3 linked regions of the Lonchura striata genome follow. The protein of the gene in region 3 interacts with the protein of the main gene of each other region in a biochemical or structural test. Links are inferred from orthologs where the notes say so. Each region holds a gene or a part of one and is shown on either strand. Other genes may lie near its edges. The genes, in order: CSNK1D, PPP2CB and MAPT.

The links.
Region 1: of the proteins of MAPT (region 3) and CSNK1D, one has a biochemical effect on the other in vitro, tested with the Homo sapiens proteins (4 studies listed by BioGRID). The link is inferred for Lonchura striata from reciprocal best matches to the Homo sapiens genes MAPT and CSNK1D.
Region 2: of the proteins of MAPT (region 3) and PPP2CB, one has a biochemical effect on the other in vitro, tested with the Homo sapiens proteins (2 studies listed by BioGRID). The link is inferred for Lonchura striata from reciprocal best matches to the Homo sapiens genes MAPT and PPP2CB.

The regions. Positions count from the first base shown.
Region 1 is NC_134621.1:12,201,912-12,209,721, reverse strand, and holds the start of CSNK1D (casein kinase I), read left to right. Parts: upstream 1-3,834; 5' UTR 3,835-4,086; coding exon 4,087-4,162; intron 4,163-7,810. UniProt on the Homo sapiens protein: Essential serine/threonine-protein kinase that regulates diverse cellular growth and survival processes including Wnt signaling, DNA repair and circadian rhythms. It can phosphorylate a large number of proteins.
Region 2 is NC_134606.1:72,154,355-72,162,164, reverse strand, and holds the start of PPP2CB (serine/threonine-protein phosphatase 2A catalytic subunit beta isoform), read right to left. Parts: upstream 5,221-7,810; 5' UTR 5,136-5,220; coding exon 5,034-5,135; intron 711-5,033; coding exon 501-710; intron 292-500; coding exon 118-291; intron 1-117.
Region 3 is NC_134627.1:8,750,043-8,757,852, reverse strand, and holds the start of MAPT (microtubule-associated protein tau), read right to left. Parts: upstream 4,371-7,810; 5' UTR 4,350-4,370; coding exon 4,304-4,349; intron 3,058-4,303; coding exon 2,971-3,057; intron 1,974-2,970; coding exon 1,887-1,973; intron 405-1,886; coding exon 339-404; intron 1-338. UniProt on the Homo sapiens protein: Promotes microtubule assembly and stability, and might be involved in the establishment and maintenance of neuronal polarity.

The sequences.
Region 1 (7,810 bases), on a different chromosome or scaffold from region 3:
TGGATCTCCCCCTGATGGGGAATCCCTTGCCCCTGTTTTTGATTTTTAAATTGTAAAAATTCGTCCTTTATTGGGCAGTGTTGTGCCCAATGTCCCTTTTGGTTGCACAGACGACACACTGTTCCTTATTTCGGTCCCTTTGGGCGGTCCCGGAAAGCAGCGCGGTGGGGAGGCTGCCGGTGTAGTAAGTGCGGTGGCACTGGCGGCTTTGGCAGTAGAAACCCTTTTCAGAGCAGCTCAGAACTCTCTAAAGTCCTTTGCAGGGATGGAAACCTTCCGTGCACAAACATCCAGCATGTTTTGTAGGGTAGGGTCCGGATCGTGGGGAAGGCTGAGGATGGTGTTCTGGCAAGCTTCATTTGTGTTTTGCCGCACGATCTCGGTAATGATTCCCCACCGGAGCGTCTCGTCCGGCACTTGCGCATCTACTGCCTGATGCAGCCAATCTACAAAGCTTACAAATTACTCTAAAGGCTCCTGCTTAATAAAAAATAGTTAACAATTGGACCGCTAGGTTTCAGTTTAAAAAATGCTTTCTTTGCTGCTTTTGCACTCAGAAGCAAAGCTTCCCTTGGTAACTTTTCTGTCTGCTTTGGACCCAAATTCCAATCCCTCCTATCGCATAAGTGATCTGCCGATATCACTGCCCCATCCGAATCAAACAAGGTATCCTGATTAGTGCGAAGTTCAGGCAACTTGTCCCTTATTTCCCTTATCCACACAGACTCCCACACCAAAAACTCAGCCTGCGTTATTAAACACGAAAAAAGGGTTCACAAATCTGCTGGCACATACTCTGCCGAGGACAGGGTTGCCTTTAAAAGACCGCAAAAAAATTCACTTTCCCGGCTGAATTCCTTTTCAGCCTTGCACAAATCCTTTATAACTTGCTGGGGGATGGAGCACCACTGGGCACGGGGCCTGCCCTCCCACCGTGGGGTGTAAGTCACCAGAGCGGCAGTGAAGGCAGGCAGGGAGTGAGATGGGTCCCAGCTCCCCCCGCCCCTGACCCCCCTCCTCTGGAGCCCGGACTGTGGGCTCCCCCCTCTGCTGCCCCCCCTTCCCCCCGACCCTGAGCCTGGACCATACCTGCAGGGGAGCAGATGAAACTCACTTTTCAAGTCTCAAATCCCTGATTAATTACGTAATTAAGTTACTCTGTTCTGAAACCAAAATACACAGCTAAGAAAAGATGTATGAGAAAAATATATTCAATAAAGACTGGTGCTTTCCCTTTCAGGTTTTTGATTTGCTTTTCGACATGGAGAAGAGCAGAGCAGATGACTTTGAAAAGAGGATTATTTAAAATGTCAGGGGAGAAGAGGAGAGGGAAGGTCTGAAGCAATGAAACAAAGCTCTTTTGATGTTGAACCAGAGCACTGAAGTCATCAGTGCCCTGGATGGCCCAAGGACTCTTCCATCTCATTGTCCACACAGAGAGGAGGAGAAACTGGTCTGAGACAGGCCATCAACTTGAAACCAAGTGATTGAGTTCAGTCAAGAGCCCTCAAAGTGAAACAACTCTAAAATGAGCAAAAATGAGTCACCTTCAAAATCAGCTGTGGGACTGAAATGTTTGGGAGCTCTCCAGGTGGAGACTTGGGGCAGCCCTAAAGATGAGCAGATCTTGCTGTGCCCAGGCTGATTCTTGTGTATAAAAGCAGTGATCCCTACCCTGGGTGGAGGCTCTGACTGCTTCAGAGACCCTGTAGCACTTTCTGCTGCACAGCTGAGCAAAACTGAGCAAAATCCAATTACATGAGATGCTTCCACACTCCAGAGACCACAGGGCAGGCGGATTATCAGAACCAATCAGAACAACTGTAAGTGAAGCCATATTTGATGCAGTTGAAGGCTCTGTTGCAAAGGACACTCTGCCAAAGTGAGTTATTCCGCAATTCAATCAATCTTTTCCCTGAGGGCTCATCAGAGAACAACAGAGGAAGGAAGAAAAGAGACTTGTTGTCAATCATTGTGCACACTGTAAGAAAGAGAGGCGTTTGAAAAGGGACTGTCCGCAGTTACAACACAAAACTCCTCTCTCGTGGCCATCACCGATGATCACTGAGGGGGACCAGAGGATTCTTTCCCAGCAGAACATCTGGTCACAGCTAAGCTGGGAAGGGAGGAGGTCAATGAGGAGGTAGAATTTTTTAGTGGCTATAGGAGCTGGTTGCTCTGTGCTGAATACAGTAAAAGGAAACTTGAGTGACGATTCTATAACAATCATTGGTGCAACGGGGAACCATGAAACTCAGCCATTTTTCCAGCCCATTGATTTTAAATTAGGAAAATAATGGGTGACTCCCCAGTTTTTGTAGCTACTCATTTTACCTAAGCCTCTCCTTGAATGATTTACTGGAAAACCTGAATGCTAAAATCAAGATTAAAATGGCAAAATGCAGGTTATTACTCCAAAATCTAATTATATGGAAGCTTCTGCTTTTGCACTACAATCTTCAAAGTCAGATGTGATCCATCTGCCATTTGTATCACTTGAGGATGCAGTAAATCTGGTAGTCTGGACTGGAGAGGAGGTGCCCCAGTGACCCAGAAATGCAGAGGCTGTAAGAAACAAATTGAAACCCTGACAGGACCAGTAAGGCAAAAGCAATACCCTTTGAGAAAATAAAGTTGTAAGGGGTTATTATCCCTTGGATATATTTATAAAAGATTTATAAAAGAAAAGAAATATTAGATTTATAAAAGATAAATTTATAAAATAAGGCCTGTTGAACAAATATGAATCCAAATTTAATAGCCTTATTTTGCCAGTTAAGAAGGCAAAGGGAAAGGACAACAGAGAATAGCCAAGGGAAAAATGGGCTGAGGGACAGAGAGGGAAGAAATTAAACATTAGGGCAGGGACCTGGAATGAGAGCATCCAAGAAAGAAAAAGTGTACTTAGAATATGAGAGAGAGAGAGGAAATAAAAGTTGGGGGGGACATCACAAAGGCCAAGAGGGTATATGGGTAGAATTCTAAAAAATTGGAAGACAGATAAATGGAAAAAGACAAAAATATCAATGGATTGAGATAGAAGATGAAGACAAGAGAAGTAGGGAAGAGGACAGAAGTCCAGAAAGCAAAAGAAAACAGAGAGATAGAATATGAGAAAAAGACAAGAGCCTGGAAAACAGGAGAGGGAGAGGTGCAGGAAAGCAGAAAAAAATACATCAGCAGGAGAAGGGTGGTAGGGATGGGATGCAGAAGAGGGGCAACATGGACTAATGGGTCCAGGACTCACCACAGCTCCCACTTACAGCTGCTGGGGGAATTTGACAGTTCAGATGTGTCTTTGTCTCTCCCTCTCCATCCCTTACTCTGTACTTCCAGAGACTCAGCTGTCAGCCACCTAAGACATCAATGTCTTACAACTTTTACAGTATGAGGCTTCACAAATACACAGCTTCACATGTGCACACACTACATGGTTATACATACAGGCCCTGCGGTGCTCTGCTTAGCACGACACTTATTAGACATTCTTCCTCACCCGGAGAGACAGAGGAGATCCCAACACTCCTCCCCAGCAAAAATGACATGGTTTTCCCCTGAAATTTGCGGGGTCACTTCTCAGACTTTGTCCCTGCACCACTCTCCCCCTCCTCGCCCTTCCGCCTTCACGATCAAAGGGGCGCTCCTCGGAACGCAGTGCTGCCGGAGCTCATCTCCACCGCGGGGACGACGACGCCACACACACCGAGAAGACTGCCGACCTCATTCGCGGCCCGGCAGGTGGCAGGGACGGCGCGGTGAGACGGGGCACCAGCGCCGGACGGCAGCCACGCCCCGCCCGGCGCGCGCCGTCCCTGCGGCAGCGCGCCCCGCCCCCGTCGCTAGGGAAGTGAGGTCACGCGGGATGGTGGCGGGGCGCCGCAGGGGCTGAGGGGCCGATCGCATCGGGAATCCGTGTCCATCTTGCTCGGGAGCTGCGGCGACCGTCTTGCCTGTCTCCTTAGTATCGAGCGGCGAGACCAAAGCCGCGATGGCATCCGAAACCGCAGGACTGTGAGGCATCAGAACGAGAGCCAGCAGGCCGGGCAGAGCAACAGAACGGTGTCGTGAACGACCCGAGCTGCCGCCATGGAGCTGAGAGTTGGGAACCGGTACCGGCTGGGCCGGAAGATCGGGAGCGGCTCTTTCGGGGATATCTACTTGGGTAAGGAGGATGGCTCGCAGGGGATTTAGTTGGCCGTTTTCTGGGTGTGTGGAGAACATCGAGGGCCTAGCCGGGTCGGGCAAGTAGCTGGGCTAGGGACACAGCAGCAGTAATTTAATATTTCGTTGACATCATGTCCTAATTTGGATAGTGCGGAAATCAGGAATTCTGGTTTACTCGGCTGCTTCTCTTCTCGTTGCTGTCTAGTGACCTTGGGCACCGTTCGAGTCTGTAAAATGGGCATAAGGGTAAAAATCGCCTCGTCTGAAAGAAAGGAAGGGAAAAAAACAAAATGATATAAACCCTAAAAACCCCACAACCCACCGCATTTGGAAAAACGTTTTGGGGAAGAAACGTACCAGGGTTAAATATCGCTGCAGTGAACTAGGAAAAATTGTCAGAAGAATGTTTATTCTACTTTGAGGCCTAAAAAAAATCACACAAATACAAGTGTTTAGGTTGCAGTAAAAAACCTTTAAATCCTTCAAATAATCCTCGTAGTTTGGCAAATCCTGTTGCTGACCATCACCTAACCGTGATCGCTCTACAATTGTAAAACGTACAGGATTGGAATTCTCTTTGCCAGTCCCTTATTATAGTTCTCTAACATAGCCTACTGCTGCTATTGTTTATGACAAGCTCAGGTAGTGGGTGCAACAGATTTTGAAAGCAGGTATTTTTAAAATGCTCTACATATTCGGCAAACTCTCAAGCCATGTGAAGTGGGTTCAATCCAAAGAAATATGAGCATTATGTCTCATCCAGTAGATACGAGTATTCTGCTTTTGAAAATTGTGTTAACCTAGAAGAGCAAATCAGGGAAGGGTGGGTGGGGGAAGGTGGAAGTTGCAGGGGCTAAGGTTCATTGACTGTGGAAGATAAAAATAATGTCACTTGCTGGCTTATGTGGTACGTTTGGCAGTGCATGCAGTATGAGATGTGGGGGTTGTTTTTCTATACGTGTTGCAGTGCACAGCTGCCATTCCAAAATAATTTTTTACTTAAAGCTGCTTGTTTACAGATCATGAAATACTCATTATCCATTAGACATATCATATGCCTGATGAAAAATATGCTATTTTAACTGAAGGTATGTGATTGTCTAGAGTCAGAGAACGTGATTCTTCCTTTCTGCAGTGCATGTATAGAAGATTGAAGATGTGACTATAGAAGATTGTCATAAAGCTTGTGCAAAAATTCTTGTTAGCTTCCATTTGGATTTTGGGGGCAATTAAGACAGCAGTTAAAATCTGAAAAGTCTTAGATAATTTGAATAATTTAAACTTTTGACTACTGCTCAGGTAAATCAGATTGTAATACAGTATTAATATCAAGTGCAAGTGAAATAAACGTTTATGTGTCACTTTTATCTCTATGAATGCAGCTTACACCAGTGAAGGTGCACAGAAAGTAATAGTTTGCTGTATGCTAGTGTATATATTAATGCCATACTGAATTCTGTGCAATAAATCCTGTGAGTTTTACATTTTTTTATTTCTAAACAATTGTCCTGGATTTACTCTCAAGGCTTACTGCAAATGTCATGCCATTTACGTGGAAGCATGGCTCAGGCATGGAGCTAGCATATAAGTATGTGAATGGAAGATCCAGCTGGTGGCATGGTTTTATTTTCTCAGGGGAAATTATTGTCTTTCAAGAACTGAAGCGTTTTATAGAGTCCCATTTGCTTTGCCTACAATTATCTGGTAGAACAGATGTTTGAAAACTGGCTTTTGTGATAACGAAATGTGGAGTTTTAAAAAAAATCCAGTTACTGCTCTGCTGTTCAGACTGTACAGTAGACATAAGTGTCTTAAAATAATTTATAATGTTATTTCAGAAGGCAGTATTTACTTTAAGTAGACGTGCCTTCTGATAGGCCTCAGTGAATTTGTAGATTATTTCAGCATACATTCCCAGCTCAGTTTTATGCTTTGAAAATGAAGATTTGACTATTTTTGCCTGCTTCCAGTCCCCAGGTTTTGTCTCAAATGCAGCTACAAGACATTTCAGAGTAGAGAGGAGGGGCGTCCTCTGTTTTCCCACCCTTACTCTTTTACCCTACTTTGGAATAAGAAACCAACAACATTGTTAGGAGCATGGTTCTTTCACATTCTTTCTTCTTCTTTGTACCTCAAAATTTATCTTCTGGAATTTGGAATGGGGGTCTGTGGGACAGAATTTTTATTTGTAAGGCACTACTGTAAATAAATAAGCATGGAAAACTTAAATAAAATGAAATTTAAGAGTTTACCTATGTTACCTTCCAGGGGAAGATATGAAAGAAATTGATACCTAGATACTCTAAATAGTATAAAAAGTGGACAGGAGTGAATGGATCAGAGTAAGCGTTTATTTTGTTGCAGGGAGCATGAGGTCAAGTAGGAATGAGTCATAGAGTAGTAGTTGCAGTGTTTTCATGGTTTCTTGTGTTATGCATGTATTTTTCTTAGGAATGAGTTTTAGGTTGTAAACTAATTCAAATAATTTCCAAGGCCTTCCTTAGGGAAGAGGACTTGACAATTACAAGTACATAAGAGTTTTGAATTTAAAAAAAAAAGCTTTCACAACTTTAGTCTTTCTTTTTCAATTAGAAATGGTGATGTCTCATTATACAGCTTGTTACTACTTTTTAATGATTCCTTTTATAGAACTGCTGCTTCTTAAATATTATTACATATTCCTTAAAGGAAGCTAAGCTTTTGGTGGAATACAGGACACTGTAAAATTTTAGAAACTTTTGTCTCAGGTTTAAGTTGTAAACAAAAGTCCCTTCTTGGGGGTAAGCACTGGATTGCTTGGCAGAATGATTTGCATTTTTGTGCCACTCTCATTAGTTTTGCTGGACTCAGAAATATTAATTGCATTAATAGTACAAAATCTCTTGTCTTGGAGGAGAGGGCTTACATAGAAGTGGAGTTTAGGCTAAAGATCTTGGCTTTCTTAGGTGGTAAAACTTCTTAGGAAGAGAAAATAGGCTGAGAAGTGACCTAGCAGATCAAGACCATGGTCTGTCAAGTAAGTTTAATGGTGCGTTGAGGAGGACTCGATCCTGATAATACAGGTTTTGATCCTCCTACACAGTTTTTGCGTTAATCAGCCACAGAGGACTGCAGCTGTCTTTAGAGAGAGATGTCTTTCATTATATGGAAGTTTGTGTCTGTTTTGGATCAACAAAGATTTTTTAAAAAGGCAAACCAACCGGAACCCCAAAACAACCCCATTGCTGTTTTTCGCTTATCGGTTAATATGGTCTTCTGTCTACACCTTCGTTATAGAACTTGGGAGAACAAGAGATGGTCAAGAAAGGTCAGGAGTTGTGTGGTTCATTTGTGGTGGGGAGGTCAGTATTAATAAGGCCTGCTTCCTTGTTTTTTTGATACATGCTTTCAAATCTCTGGGTTGATGTTCACCAAGATTAATTTAAGTCCACCAAAATAATTCACTCATGAAGTGTGAAAAATACTAGATTACATATTGAAGAGCTTTCAGTTGCTGCGGCTGTACTGTGTCCAAAGTAACAATCCAGGATCCTGTCGCCTGTTATGCTAGATAAATGTCTTGGTTTGACAAGATAGGAGTCTGTGAAGGAGGGCAAAAGCCTTCTGTGCAATGGAGAAGGTAAACCCCCTCCCTCCGAATTACCAG
Region 2 (7,810 bases), on a different chromosome or scaffold from region 3:
AGTCACCTCGCCCTCGGATCACAGGTTAAAGGAGCTCATCTGGGACTGCTCCTCTGGATGTCAAACAGAGCCTGCAGAAATCTACAGAAGGAAGGGTTTTCCTCATCCCAGACTCACCTGGCCGTCTACTAGAGCTGTGAGAGGAAGGTAATCAAACAGGTCTGTGAAGTACTTCCAGACGTTGGCGTTGCCGTACTTGCGCAGGCACTCGTCGTAGAAGCCGTAGACCTGTGTGATTTGCCTGCTCTCGTGGTTGCCCCTCAGTATCGTGATGCGCTCCGGGTACCGCACCTGGGGGCGGAGAGAACACTTCCTTAGCACGGGCACGGAAACAAGGAGTGATGGAATATCAGCAACAGCAGCCAGGCACTCTGCTCCCAGCACGTGTCTGCTGACACGGATCCATTTACACCCGTTATGCCCGAGCCAACGGCAGCCTCACCGGGAGGAGAAAACGGCTCCCAGCTCCCAGGTTTCATCCCCAGTCCCCCAAGCCGTACCTTCAACGCCACCAGGAGAGTCACTGTCTCCACAGAGTAATAGCCTCTGTCCACATAGTCTCCCATGAACAGGTAGTTTGTGTCTGGAGACTTCCCACCAATCCTGAAGAGCTCCATAAGGTCGTGGAACTGCCCGTGGACATCCCCGCAGACAGTGACGGGGCAGCGCACCTCTTGCACATTTGATTCCTTTGTAAGGATTTCTTTAGCCTGGCAAGGAAAGCATGTTTAGGGCAACAAGGTAGGAAGCTCCTCCAGAAGCTGGTGATATTATTCTGCTGCATTCCCACTGGAAACCCAGTTTCATCCCCGCTGCTCAAGCCAACCACTGGAAAAAGTTTGGTGAGCACAGACAAGGGGTGTTTCCCAAATCCCAGTGCACGGGGATGAACAGGCCATCCTTTACTACAGCAAGGCCAGATGCCCTTGCCCGGGGTACATTTTGCCCAACAGAATTCCAATCCTCTTCCCAGCACAACAGTTCAGCAACTTCTACGGGCTAGTCACTTACAACTGGAAAGCAGAGACAGAGGCAGTTGGAACATATGGAGCCACAACCAGCTTCCCTGGCTGTGCCCAGCTGGCAACAAAACAACTACAGATGGAGGGATGGCATCCCTGGATTTAGTCATCTCTTCTCCCACACCCAGCAGTTCCTCTGCTAATTACAACCATGCAATGTAGCCTATCTGCACCACCTTATTATCCTTATCAAATACCAGGTTTGTTGTGCTGCCTGCAGCTCACTGACTGATGCTGAACAGCGCTCCTGGCACATCTGAGGCACAGGGAACACCCACAGGATGGCTCCATCTGATCCAAACAAAAGGGCTGGAAGATCACCAACACTGAGCAATCACCAGCAGGTGATGATCTGGGTATTCCCTGCCATATCCCTTAGCTCAGGATGAGCTAAGGCTCACCCTGTGCTGCCAGAAGGGAACCGCTTCCAAATGATACCCTCTGTGGGCTTCCTGAGGATGCCTGAGTTTCCATTCCAGTGCTTGCTGCCTTGCCTCTTTTAGGTAGAACATGTATTTGGAAGGAGTAACTACACCCCAAGCAGTTTGGACTGCATCCAGCATGCTCTCTGCACAGAACCTAACTTGACGGATCCTTAAAGTCACATCCTGCCCATGGATTTGACGAGTTGGGCTCTGCCTTGCACTTCTGGCATGACTGGGAACTGCTGAACATGTTGTATTTGAGTGCAGTAGTAGCACTCAAATTCTGCTTGCACGTCTTTAAAAGCATTTATAGTGCCTTCTGAGAGCTTCCACCCTCTGGGAGAGACAAATATAAACCCACAAAACAGCTGCTCCGTGTGTTCTGGCTGTTGCACAAAGCAACAGGCAGGGGTTTGTTCCAAGCTGGAGCTCAGCAGTGCTCCTTTTCCACAGGAACAGGGCAAATGGGCTCACTTTAAACCTACCCTAGGAATGGGGGACAGCCCACGACCTGAAACGTTGGTGCTAGGAGAATCCAAAAGTTTCCCCTGATGAGGAAGGAGGAGCTGGCAGGTGACAGGAGCGGCTCCTTCCGCTGCCAAGCAGCTGTTCCCCTGCAGCCCATTTTAGCTCATGCTGTGGACAGTCGTCGGTGCACGTGGACAGATCCAGGCTGTCATTTGAACTCTGCCGAGCCAGTTTACATCAGGGTCGGGAGCCCCAGTTTGCCCTCACATGATGATCTTCTCATGCAGAACAAGGCTTGCAAAATGCTCAGCATCGATAAAAACACCCCAGAAAAGCAGTGACTAACCAGCGCATCTGCCTGCAGCGTGAACATTGAAATCAAATTACTTAAAATAAAAAGCACTATTACAAAGCAAAAATAAAAACCTCTGATGCAAGCAGGCTGCCTGGCATCATCAGCACTTACTTAATCCAGGAGGCTAATAAATAACTATGACTTAGAAGTCAAAATTTAGCTACCTTTGTTGCAGAAAACAGTGACTAATGGTATCAGCCTCCTGTGCATCTGTCCCACTTGTGCTGGATGAAAACCATATCCAGGTCAGGACAAAAAAGCAGCAGTCTTTAGGTGTTTTTGTTAAATAAAACTCCCTTGCATTAAGTAAACTGAACCAATGGTTGTCTGTCTGTGCTCAACTCCTGGTGTGTTTCTGAAGAGCCTCAGAGAGAGAAGAAACTCCATTCCTTCAGGAAAACTGATTCCCTCAGCTTGATCTGACCCATAGAGGCTCGTTCTCTGGGAACCTGAAGCCAGGCGTGGAGTTGGGGATCCAAATTCACCTGAACCTTCATCCCACCAATGGCCACAGACCAAACTACTGTACCAACAAGTGGGCTGAGGCTATGAACCTCAGGGAGCTTGGCTGGAATGCCAACCAGCCAAGTGAGATGGAAGCCAGAGGGATGGCAGGGATGGAGCTGTCTCACCCTTCAGGAATGAGGCACCCAGAGCCTCTGCTAAGGTGCTCCCTGATCCAGCACCCCCCGGGATGAACATCACCAACAGAGTGATAAAACACTGCCAGCCATGACACAACACAGGGAATCTCCTGTGTCCCCTCTCACACCTCCAAGGAACCAGGAGAGGAAAGATAAGCTGCAAGGAGAGGGATGGTCATGGATGGCTGCTTGTTTAATTCAGGAGGCAGCCTTTTCCTGCCTTCTTCCATTGCCCATTTGATCATCTTGGTGAAGAACCCTTTTGCCTGGATTAAGCAGGGTGGCTCTCAACTCCCTCACCTGCACCCCAAACGTGGAAGCTTGAACAGTGACCAGAATTAATCCTTCTATCAGCCTCTGAATTTCTGTAGGATTTGAGCTAATTTCCCTTTTAAACACCAAGAGAATGGGAACAAGGTTATCACGTTGAGGAACAGCACCTCCCTCACCTGCAGGAGCCACAGGGGGCTGATCAGCTGCCTAATGAGCTTGCCACTGGGCAGGTGAGGACAGAATGTCACTGCCACAGCTGCAAATTTCAACAACTTTTACGAGTGCACAATCACTGGGCACACCTTCATTGTGTCCAATCCTCCCCTCAGCACTGCCCTCTACGCCACTACCTAAAACCAAAAATGATCCACACAGATAGCTCTGGGATTTCATTGTGGTTTTTTTGTTTTGTTTTCTTTTCTTTTTTCCCTTCATTTTGATTTTTTGTTTTAGGACTGAGTTCTTCCACAACTTGAAACCTGAGGCAAAAGGTACTACTGTCCTGAGTGTCTCTGAAATCAGCCCCAAAAACAAGAGTGTTACAAAGTGTTCTGGAGAAGAGGATTCCTCCAAATATAATTTCAAGGAAACCAACTAAACCAGCTTTGTGGCAGGGCTGCACACCCAGAGTTTTTTGTAAGCTCCTCTCCTGGGTGACACAACCACTCCCCAAAACTTAAACAAGCCAAGTCAGTGCAGGGCACAGTGTTTCCTTCATGCCCCAGCCGTTTCCCTCCGTTTCCAGCAGCCTGGAAGAACGAGGTGCTGTGACAGATGACACACCTCCCTGTCACCTGCTTCCTGAAGGACAAACACCCTCCCCACCTACAGCTGAGCTCTCCTGTCAGCCTTCAGCTTCCCAAAATACAGCAGCCACAATTCCAGCGTCCTAAAGAGCCACAGCTCCCTCATAACTGATGGAGCTCTGGAGAAAAGAGGCACAAAACAAACGGATGGCTCCAGCACAGGACTGAGAAAACAAAAAGGAAGAAACCAGAAAATGTGTGTGGGGGGGGGTGGTTAGGGAGTGTCAGGATCACTGTTGGAAGAACGTGCCAAGGAAAATCTTCCCTTGGTCACAGACTGCAGTGCTAAGGGAGTGCTCACAAACTGCTACTGGACTGCTCAGACAACACCTAGCACAAGTCTAAGGACCTTTCCCCCGATGGGAAAAAAAGGTTTTTCCCAGTGCCCACTAAACAAATCCAAGCACGCGTTTGCCAAGGCCTGTCCATACCGCAGCCCAGAACAGCAGACAGTGTCCTTTATCCGACCATTCCTCTTTCTATTTTGGTCGCCTCAGCAGGCTGCGAGCCTGTTTGCGGCTCACCTCTGCTTCCCGAGATCCCACCTCGGAAGTCAGTGGGCTTCCTCACTGACTCGGGGTTGATTTTCCAGCGCCTGGCTCCTCCACGTTGTGTAGGACACCAGGACATCGGATACTCCAGGGCCACCACCCCGGTGTCCCAGCGCGGGACGCTCCAGAGGGAGCGCCCCGGCCACCCCACGTCCACTCTGACAGACACCATCCCAAAGATCCAATGGCGGATATCCCACAGGCGCCATCCCGCTCTCCCAAAACCCACAGGCACCAGCCGCTTTCCCAGTGCCAACACCCCACAAGCACCGCCCGCTTTCCCAGCGCCCGACATCCCAGCAGCCGCATCCCTGCCTCCCAAAACTCGCTGTCCCGCAGGCACCACCCCGCTCTCTCCACGCCCGGTATTCCACAGGCACCACCCCGCCCCCCAGAGCCCGGTATCCCCCCGGCCACAAGCCGGTCTCCCAACGCCGGACACACCGCGGGCACCGTCCCGCCCTCCCAACGTCCGGGCCCCGCACTCACCTTCTCGCACAGGCTGCGGACCTGGCTCTCGCTCAGCTGCCGGCACTCGTTCAGCTGCTCGATCCACTGGTCCAGCTCCTTGGCGAAGCCCTTCTCCTCCATGGCGAGGGGGGCCGGGCGGGCCCCCCGAGGCCCGGGCCCGCCTGTGGGTGCCGGCGGCGGCCGGGGACGCGCGGCCCGCTCGGGGCTGCTCCGCTCCGCGTAATGGCGGCGCCCCCCGCCTGCCGCGGCTGCTGCGCACTTCCGGCCACGCCCACGGCCGCGCGCCGCCGCTTCCGGCGCGCGGAGTCGGCCTCAGAGCCCCGCCCCTCCCGCTGGCCCCGCCCCCGCCGTGGCCACGCCCCCTCCCGGCTCCGCTCGGCCGCGCTCGCCCCGCCGCAGGAAAAAGGAATAAACTGCTCCCTTCTCGCCGGGGAAAAAGGATTAAATCAAAGGTTTTGCGCCCGCTGTCGGAGTCGAGTCGCAAGCGTTGGTAGCAGGGCCCGGGAATGTGACAATCCCTGTCTGGCGCGGTATTAATTCCTTTCGCCATATTCCCGTGAAATACTGTGGAGCAGTAATCGCTACAGGAGCGCGTGTACGATGATGTACTAAATATGACACATGATTAGTGAATATAAGCAGTCAAAATGAATACATTTGCTACAGTCTGGCACTCATCTCGCCCTCAGCTTTAAACTGTGACAGACCTGCAGAAATCCCTCCTTGCTGCTCTTTATTTATATAATCTGCTTTGGACTCGTTCTGCTGTGTCCCCTGTACCCAAATGGAGCAGTAATATCGTGACAGAGATGCAGTAACTGAGGCTACGACACTGCCACAACCCGGAGTGCCCAGCCCAGGCAGAAAGGACTGGGATTGGAGGAGACCCCTGAGGGAAAACTTCCCTGGGATTTTTAGCAGGATAAAATAGATCAAGTCCACGTGGTGTGTTTTTTTCATGTCAGATGGGAAGGCTGAGGAGCTGCTCAGGCTGTCCGACCAGGAACACTCATGGCCATCACAGGTCCCTTAATCTCCTTTGGATAGAAGAGATGGACTTGAGGAATTCACCCTGAACTGAGGGAAGAAAATGAAAGGATTCACAACATTGTGTCCCTAAAGTGAATTTTCTAACCGAAAATACAGCTATAAAAAGTAAAAGAGAACAATTTACAAAAAACACAGCTTTGTAGCTACTGTTCTGGAGGACAATCGCTTGCCAGTCCAGTTCCCAGGAAAGATAGCTGCCAGGAACTGTTCATGCTCCTCTGGATGTTTTATTTGCTGATTGGTTTTCCAGAAGGTCATTTCTAACCATATTTTCCATGTTTGTGGCACTGCAGCAGAGCACGGCCATGGGATAAGGCAAATCCTGCCTCGTGGCATTGGACAATAAATCTTCCCAGCCCGGAGCATATGGGAGAGCAGCACCCCCAATAAAAATCATCCCTGGCTTGTCCAAAATGACCCAAAAAAGGGCATCCTGAGTCTCAGGAGGCCAGCCTTAAAACAAATGCTGAGTAGCTTTTATTCTGTCTTTCAGTTTCTGGAGGTTTCCCCATGATTTAATTTGAGGAAACAAAGCACGGACACATGGATGTGCACGCTTTGGTGCTAAGTTTCTATTTACTGATTCCTTGCCACCATTAAAATGTTTAATAGGCGACGCTTAAATGGAAAGATCCAGCTGAGATATTTCTCTTGGCTCCCGGTCAGGAATAAAGAGGTTTCTGAGGTATCGATCCGATGGCAGGTGCTCAGCAAAGCTCCAGCAAAATCTCACAGCCTGAGCCAGGACCTTCCTCAGAGCAACACGACGTGGTTTGCTGGAAAGAGGGAGCTCTTGGGATGAGCTGGGGATTTTCCTGCAAAGGAGTGGCAGGGACAGAGCCTGCGGAATCTCCCGGCAGCAGAGGGGGACATTCATCAGGCTCCCTGGCAGGGAAAACTGACAAGCCTCAGCGACAGGGAATTAATGAAGGCAGGATTTTCCACCACCTTCTCTAAAATCTCATCATCTCTCTGCTAGAACCTTCTAAAAAGGCAATGCTGGTGAAGTGGCATGAAAGGCTACTTTATTAAAAAACACATTACTGTTGGCTGTGTAACATTAAACCCCCCCATGGGGTACCTTGCTTTCTTATTCTTGTGACTTTTCCACTGAAACTCGGCTTTTTAGAGTGTGATACAAAACACAGGAGAAACAGAGGCAGAAAAAATTACTCATGGCCACCATTGCCTATGGAAGGCACTGCCTGGGCTTATCCACTGCTTCCCAAAGGGTGCTGGATTCCTGTGTTTTAGAGAGGGGAAAAAACCCACCCCCACAATGAATAAAATAAATCAGTAAAGTTCTTCCTTCTGCCAGCAGCTGAGGGAGCACAAACTCAGTGGGAGCTGCTCCAAGGGCACCTGACCCCCCCTGAGGGTGCAGAGGAGCCCCAGACCACCCAGGGGTATGAGGATAAGGATCCCTAAAAGACATTTTGGAGTGCAGGCACAGCATTTTTGCAGTGGATGGGAGGCAGACCTACCTGGCAGCAGCCTCCATGAAGCCTGGATTCTTTCTCCCAGCGTTTCCCCACAGGATTTGTCTCCCTCCTTCCCGTGGTGGCATCTATCACCATGGGCAGCACTGTGAGGAGCAGCAGGCAACATTACAACATCTTGATAAACTGGGAAAAAAAGCCAGGGAGAAGTCAGAGGGGAGGAAAGAGGCAAAGAGAGGGGGAATGATGCCAGGAGAAGGGAGATGAATCTCTGAAAATGGACTCTGTTGACGTAATGTATGCACA
Region 3 (7,810 bases):
TGCCTCTGCTCAAGCTGAGCAGTTCCTCTGGCCACAGCACATCCCAGCTCTGTCCAGCAGCTTTTCCAGCCTGGAGAACACACTGGTTTTGCAGCTGGACAAACAAGCACCGTGACTTTGGCCATCTGAGAGGGAAATCTGGTGCACGAGGAGCTGCAGCTCCCTGTAAAGAGCATGTTGGAACAGCCCAGGAGTGCATGGCCCTCCTCTGCCAGGAACAGGGAGAGCTGCTGAGCAGGGCAGAGCGTTTCCTCACAGAACAAACCTCCCCAGCCACCACCAGCCCTCTGCAAGCGTGGGCAGCAGCAGCTGGTCCCAGTGAGAGACGATTCACCCACCTTGAGTGGCATCTCCTGCAGCGTGGTCCTCCAGGTTGGGAGTGGCTCCTACGCCCGCCTCTTCAGCTGCTCAGGCAGAGAAAGAAGGGGAAAAACATCATCAAAATAAGAGCTGAGTTCAAGCACGTGCCTGGAGAATGAATTTACCTCCCTGCCGAGGCTGCCCAGCAGAACGGGCAGGATCTCTGCAGCAGGGCAGAAATCTCCCCACACTGATGAAGGACCCGGGTGGATCTGCTCAGCCCCTGCTCTACAGACCAGAGCAGTGTTTCACCAGCTTCCACATCCTAAATGGCAGGTTAGCACAAGCTCTTCCAGGCAGAAAACAGGCTGTTAAGGAGCAAGGCAACTTGCGGATGTAGATCCTCTTCTACCCCCACGTGGCCTTTACACGGCCAGCAGCACGCCCATGGACGTCTCTTACCTGAGCTCACTTCTTGTGTCTGTGACCAACCTGTGAGCCCTGCCAAGGCTGGCTGAGACCAGTAACTCCAAGCCTGATACAAATCTATAGAGAAATCCTGAACTTCAGGACTACAGGTACATCAGAGAAGCATAAGAGAAGGTTTTCTTCACAGTGATGGTGGTTTGTCTTCCTCAGCATTTCTTCAGTTTATTCTATGACTATTTTCAAACTAGCTTAAATAATTCTATTGGTATGCCTCAGTTCTCCAGTCAAACTAGGACTTCTTCTCTGTTTTCCTCATTTTTATCCAAGCAGTTCAGGATACACTGGCTCCCTGGGACAGTCTGATCTTGCACCAGAGGCTCTGTGCTTCAGTCCAGGGCTCCACCAGCAGCTCAGGGACCAGATGCAGCACAGAAATTCCACTGCTGTGAGTTTGTTTCAGTGCTTGGCACTGGCAGAAGCCCTTTTCTACCCGCTGCTTTTCTCAGGTCCTGCCTGATGCTTCCAGGGAAAGCCACTGGCTATGGCACAGGGGACACATCCTCATTTTTCAGACACATCCTGCTCTCCCACACACAGCACTGCCACAGTCACTCCCTGCTCTGCCTCTGGAAGGCCCCATCCTTCCCTGGAAAACCAGGCCCAGGTGCAGTGGCTGCCCACAGGGCATTCAGGCTGAATTAGTCACTTCACTGGCTCTGCATCACCCTTAAAAGCACTGCTGCAGTGGCCTGGTTTCCACCTGCCACTCCAAAGACACCGCCAGGGCTGGGCAGAGCCCGGGGGCTGCAGGAGGCACCCAGGGGCTGCAGGAGGCACCCAGGGGCTGCTGGCACGGGAAGGACCCGGATCTGCAGAGAGGAGCCTGGAGGTGGGAGCCAAAGCCACCACAGAGACACCAGACAGAAGGATGGTCAGGTGTGGAGCAGAGAAAGAGAGAAGAAAAGGCTGCGAGTTCCCCCCAGGACGGGGAAGGCAAGAGGACAGCTCTGAGAGAGGAATTCTCCAGAGAAGAAGGAAGCAGGGCTGGGAGCAGCGTCCCTGCGAGAGGTTTCGTGGTGTTGCCTCACAACACCGACCAGTCCAGCTCTCTGCTCTGTCTGCAGCAAGAGATGAAGCTGCACCTTGGTCTCCCTCACCTGTGGTTCCTTCTGGGATCTCCCCGTGCTGTTCCGCACCACCCTGATCCTCGTGGTCTCCTTCCTCCACTAAAGGTGCTGTGGCATCTGCAAAACAACACGGCTTTCACACAGCTGCTGGGAGGCAAAGCCCTCTGCAGGCCTGGAGAACTTCCTGCCCGGAGAAGCCCTCGGCTCCCTCACGGCCAAGCACGGCTCCAAAGCCAGAGCCACAGGGACACCACGAGCTGGCCCCTGCCACACAACGCTCCCTACGCTTCTGCCCAAAAATCCACCACTAAATCCTGCACGGGGACACGGCTGCTGTGGAGCAGCACGCAGCAGCTCCCCTGGAGCTGCACGGAGCACCCCAAGTGGCTGCACCGTGCTCTGGGACGCAGGGACACCCAGCTCCACCTACCAGAGGGGTGGCTGCTCATCCTGCAGCCCCAGCCCGGCTGGAAAGCAGGACAAAATCCCCTCCTGCACCAGACAGGTTTTATGTCCTGATTTCTTGAGGCACTTTCCTGACAATCGCTCAGCCCACACCTCCAGCGGGACAGGGCTGGGACTGCTCAGCATCTCTGCCCACCCTTCCTTCCTTTCAGAACAATTTTGCAAGCTAAAGCCTCTACCTCAAGTCTCCAAAGGCAGATTCCTGGGATTAAAGCAGCCAGAGGAAGGCAAAAAGTGAAGGTAATTACAACAGTGAACAAGTCTCTAGACCACTCTGGAGTTAGAGCCTTTCTACCCACGAGGCAGTCAGGACCTGGGGAGCACAGACACAAACCTGTGCCACTCAACACAGCAGCTCCTGGCTGCTCTGCCAGGGCCCTGCAGTGCCCCTGTAAAGGCTGCAGGAAGCAAACCACCAGCAGCTTCCTGAGCTGCAAGGAACAATTCACCTTTCCTGCTTTGCAGCCCACTCTGCACCTCTGGGGCTCATTATCTCATTCTGCAGCACAGCCAACACCACTAGTGATGAGACTAACAAAGGGGTTCTCCTCCTGAGAAACCCCCAGGACACGGCACGGGGAGTCTGTGGCGAGGTTTACCACGACCCCGTCCAGCATGGTCCCAAAGCAGAAAGTCAAAGAGCTCCCACCTTCCGTAGTTGGGGTGCTCTTAGCGTCAGATGTTTCAGAAACAGGCTCATCCGATCCATCATCGACTGGTATCTGAAGGGGATAGCCTGGAAAACATTCACATACTTACAACAGGTCCTTGGCTAAGAGCTGGGGCCTGGGGGTTACCAGCTGTGATCCACAGCTGCAAGAAGCTGCAGCTGGAGAGTAAAACCACCTGAGCCAAGAGCAAGCAAAGCGTGGAAATGCCAACCAAAAGCACCAGTGTGAGCGCCGAAAGGAACAAATGGAAACCCACCAGCAAAAGAAAAGCCCAGTGAACCGGGCAGGCAGAAACAGCAAAGCATGGCACAAGCAGGCAAGGAGATCTCGGCAACGTAAGGAGGAAAGATGTGCAGCTTCTGAGCCCCTGTTGTCCTCTCCCTCCCAGAGCAGGCTGAGCACTCCCAGGACTGCAAACCAGCCCGTGTTTGTGACGGGGCTGCTGCAGGACAGCATTCTGTGCCAAGAAACCGTGGCAAAAGTCTTCTGGAAGAGCAGGGCAAGAGGCACAAGTCTCCTCTCAGCAAGGGTGCAGGCAAATCAAATAATGAGAGCTGGAAAAACTGATTTGGAAAAGAAGAAGTGAGATCCCTGAGAACCTGTGATGTTTCACAAGCTGAGAGGAGCTGCCGGACCGCAATGCGCTACTGGATGAATGGATGCTCTGGATTCTCTCCAGGACAGAGGCCATCCATTTATCTGCTTGAAGAGGTGTCCAAAGCACCTCAAGAAAAGGAAATTAAGATGATGTTTATATGGAGCACAGCCAGGAGTGAGTCCCCCCAGGTCTGCTGGGCGGTGCGGGTTTCCAAGCTCAGCTGTGGAGCACGGTGGAATGAGAAAGGAAAAGCTTCTGAAGAAATGCAGGTCTGAAATATGGTGAGGAAGACTCTAGCATGGCCCCCACGCCCAGAGCTCTCTGTTCAGTTCTCCCCAGGTCCCTGTGCAGGTGAGGAAGGCAGGCAGCAAGCAGCACCCTCGAGCTGTGACCCCAAATAAAAAGAAGTGCTGTGCTTTCTTAGCAAACTGAGGAGTGAACACAAACACACACTTGCAAAGCTGCAGCAGTGGGATCGCCCCTGGTCTGGGGTTCTTCTGCTCAGTGGGCAGCGAGATCCACGAGCAGCATTTCGCTGCCACCGTGCACGTGGAGCACCCCGTGGGCTCCCCGTGGTGCCCTGGCTGCAGCCAGCTGACCACAGTGTCCCTGCCAGGAGCCCTGGCACCACCAGCACCCCTGGCTGCTCTGCCTCTCCCCCTGCCTCAGCAGGGGCCCAGGCAGGTCCTCCACCCCGTCCTGGACGTGCTCACCTGATGAGAAGTGCTTTTCCTGGCCAGGTGCGTGATCCTCCATCATGGTGGTGTCCTGAGGCTGCTCTGCCACCTCTCAGCAAAGGTACCTGGAAAGGAGAGTAAAAACTAACACCCATTAGGCAAAACCTGTCACAGCAGCAGCAAAGGGAAGGTCTGGCCATTCCTGCACAGGCAAAAGCATGTGCCAGTCACTGCATCCCTCACAACAAACACAGAGGCACCTCCTGCCAGCTGCACTGAAATTCCACGGGTGTTTAAGATGTCCCAAGGAAAAAGAGCACCCTGGTGCACCCAGGACACTGCCCTGACACAGCTTCACCCCAGGAGCTCCCTGCGAGCAGCAGGCTGTGCTGACTGGCTCCTGGTGCTCCAAACTCTGCATTTCCCAGTTTAACCAGTCCCCCAAGAGATGCATTTGCTGGGGAGGTGTGATGCTGCTGTGGGAAGGGATCCTCCCCTCCCTGTGGAGACACCCAGCAGGGACACACATCTTCAAAGCCATCCGAAAGCGGCAGAGGGGGGACACCAGGCCTATCCACAGATGGATTTTGGACTCTCAGAGGAGAGGGTCTCGCTCAGCTGTGGCTGAGAGGGGACAGCACAGCCCCTGCTTTAACCCCAAACCCTTCCTGCAGGCTCAGAGAGCCTCACCACAGCACAGAGCCAAGCAAACAGGTCTGGGGTGGGAGCAGAAAGGTGCCAAACCTCCCAGCTGATTCTGCGAACTGCCTTGATCTGCGAGAGGAAATGAAGTCTCCAACAACCATTACCTGCCCCTGCTCCGCGCCGGGTGGACAGACAGTGCTTTCAGCTGCCTTCCTAAGAGCTGGTATGATTACAGCCATTGGCAGTGATTAATAATCAGCTTTTAGTGTGATCACATGCTTGCCGTGACCCTCAGGGCCCGCTGAATCCAGCAGTGGAGCTCAGGTTACCAGCAGCAAGGAGGAAACTTGTGGTTTTGTGTGCTGGCAATAAATTAACTGGATGTATGGAACCACACAAGAGAAACTCCAGGGCCAGTAACCAGATCTCTCAGCCAGCTTTTTTTAAGCCTTAGCAAGATGACTCTGCAATTTAATTACTGCCTTAGACAGCTACAAAGCCATTTGACAGCACTGGAGAACCAAGGAGGCTGGAGAGCTTGCACTGGAATGAAATCACCCACAAAAATGGAGGTATAAAATAAGAAAGAATTAAATACCTAATTTTTGCTCTAATTAGTGGGCCCTAATTATTTGGACATATGGCTGCCTTCCTCCTAGTGCTCAAAGGGTCATATTGATTACGTCAGGCCTTGCATTTCTCCGGGCATGCAGGGCTGCAGCCTGGGGAAGTCCCTGCATTTCTCCAGGATGCAGCCTGGGAAAGTCCCTGCATTTCTCTGGGCATGCAGGGCTGCAGCCTGGGAAAGTCCCTGCATTTCTCCGGGCATGCAGGGCTGCAGCCTGGGGTAGTCCCTGCATTTCTCCGGGATGCAGCCTGGGGTAGTCCCTGCATTTCTCCAGGATGCAGCCTGGGAAAGTCCCTGCATTTCTCCAGGATGCAGCCTGGGGAAGTCCCTGCATTTCTCCAGGATGCAGCCTGGGGTAGTCCCTGCATTTCTCCGGGATGCAGCCTGGGGTAGTCCCTGCATTTCTCCAGGATGCAGCCTGGGGTAGTCCCTGCATTTCTCCAGGATGCAGCGCTGCAGCCCCTGCGCTGCAGCAGTGCTGGGTTCAGCAGAGGCTGCTGCGGGCAGGGCTGCTGCTCACCTGCCTGCACTGCCAGCCAGTGCCAGGCTCTCCAGCACGAAGGAAGGGCCAGGGCTGTGCAGAGCACTGGGGTGCTGTGCCCTGCCCGTGCTGCCCAGGGACAGGCAGGGCCAGCCCCCACCCCCCCATGGCACCGCACGATGCAGCTCGGGGGGCTCGGGGGGATGCAGCCATCAATTTTTCAGAGACAGAGAGGAAGAGCTGCCTTCCTCTTACAGGGAAAAAAGCACGGCCAAAACATGGAGGTCCATCACTGAGACACTCAGGGGACCCTGGATCGCTCTGGAGAGCAGAAACATCTCCCAGCAGATGGAGCACAGCGTCCTCCTGCTGCTCCACGAGTGCCCTGGTGGGGAACAAAACCACCTGGCACCAGAGCCAAGAGACAGGGAGGGAGGAAAGCCTCAGCTTGGCCTTGGGTTTTCACTCAGGTCATGAATTCATGTGACCAAAGAGAATTTAAATCTTATTAAAATGACAGATTCTAGATTCGAATTCTCAAGGATGGAATGAAAATTCTGAAAGAAGTCCATAATGGTAATCCTCTTTGTTTTTCCTTTTGAGTGGGGGAAGGGGAAATCCCTCTCAGAGAAAAACATAACATCAAGGGGAAAAAAAAAATTCTAAAATATGCTTAAAAGTGTAAAACCAGCCCCGCCTTTAAGCAGTGGCTCAGTGATGCATAATTAGAGCAAAGAAAGCTGCACAGAGATAAACTTGAACAGCACCCTCTGCATGGCAGATAAAGCACAAACCCCCCAAAGAACCTTATCCATCCCCAGCAGAACTATTCTCCTTAACCAGGGACACTATCTAAAAAGCAACAGCCTATCCCATCATTAACAGCTCCTCCAAACCTCTCGTTTTCCAGACCTGAAGCCCTCCTGGTGTTGGGAGGGACCTCAAAGCCCATCCAGTGCCACCCTGCCGTGGCAGCAACGCCTCCCACTGTCCCAGAAAGTTGGGACAAGCCCCATCCAGCCTGGCCTTGGGCACTGCCAGGGATCCAGGGCAGCTGTGCCAGGGCCTGCCCGCCCTCCCAGGGAAGAGCATCCTCCTAATATCTACTCCAAACCTCCTCTCTCAGTTGGAATCCATTCCCCTGTCCCGTCGCTGCAGGTCCTTGGAAGTATTTCCCAGTGTTTCCCATTTTCTGCAGATGCTGGAAGGCCACACAAGGTCACCCCAGAGCTGCTCTTCGTCCCCAGCCCCACGTCCAGTCTGCAGCAGCGATTCCTGCCCGGCCACCAAAGAGGCACCAGGACTGGGCACAGCCAGAACAGCCCAGCAGCACAGCAGAGCCACCACCCTGCAGCCCCTGGGAACCCAAAAAACCCCACAGAAAGCCCCCAGCACCCTCTGCCCGGCAGGGCTCCGAGCCCACGCTAAGGCAGGCAGCCCAAACTCGCACACCTTTGGCCAAAAGTTTCTCTGCAGTGGAAGGGAGATAAACCCCAGGTGCAGCCCAGCTGAGAGCAAGGTGCCCCACGGAGGGCAGGGGCAGAGGGCAGAGCTGGGAGCACCCAGATGTGTAACCTGTGCCAGACATCTGGAACAGCCTCCCCCAGCCCTCCGTGCCAGGCTCCGAGTGGGGCACGGCGGGCACGGCCCCGGGAGCAGAGCAGGGACCAGCCCGGGGTCACAAGGCTGGAGCAGAGGCTCGATTTACACAGCCCAGCCCAAAATAAACCCGGCCTTGGCAGCAAACACAAAAAGGAACACTGCAGCAGGACAGTGCAGGCCTGCAGAG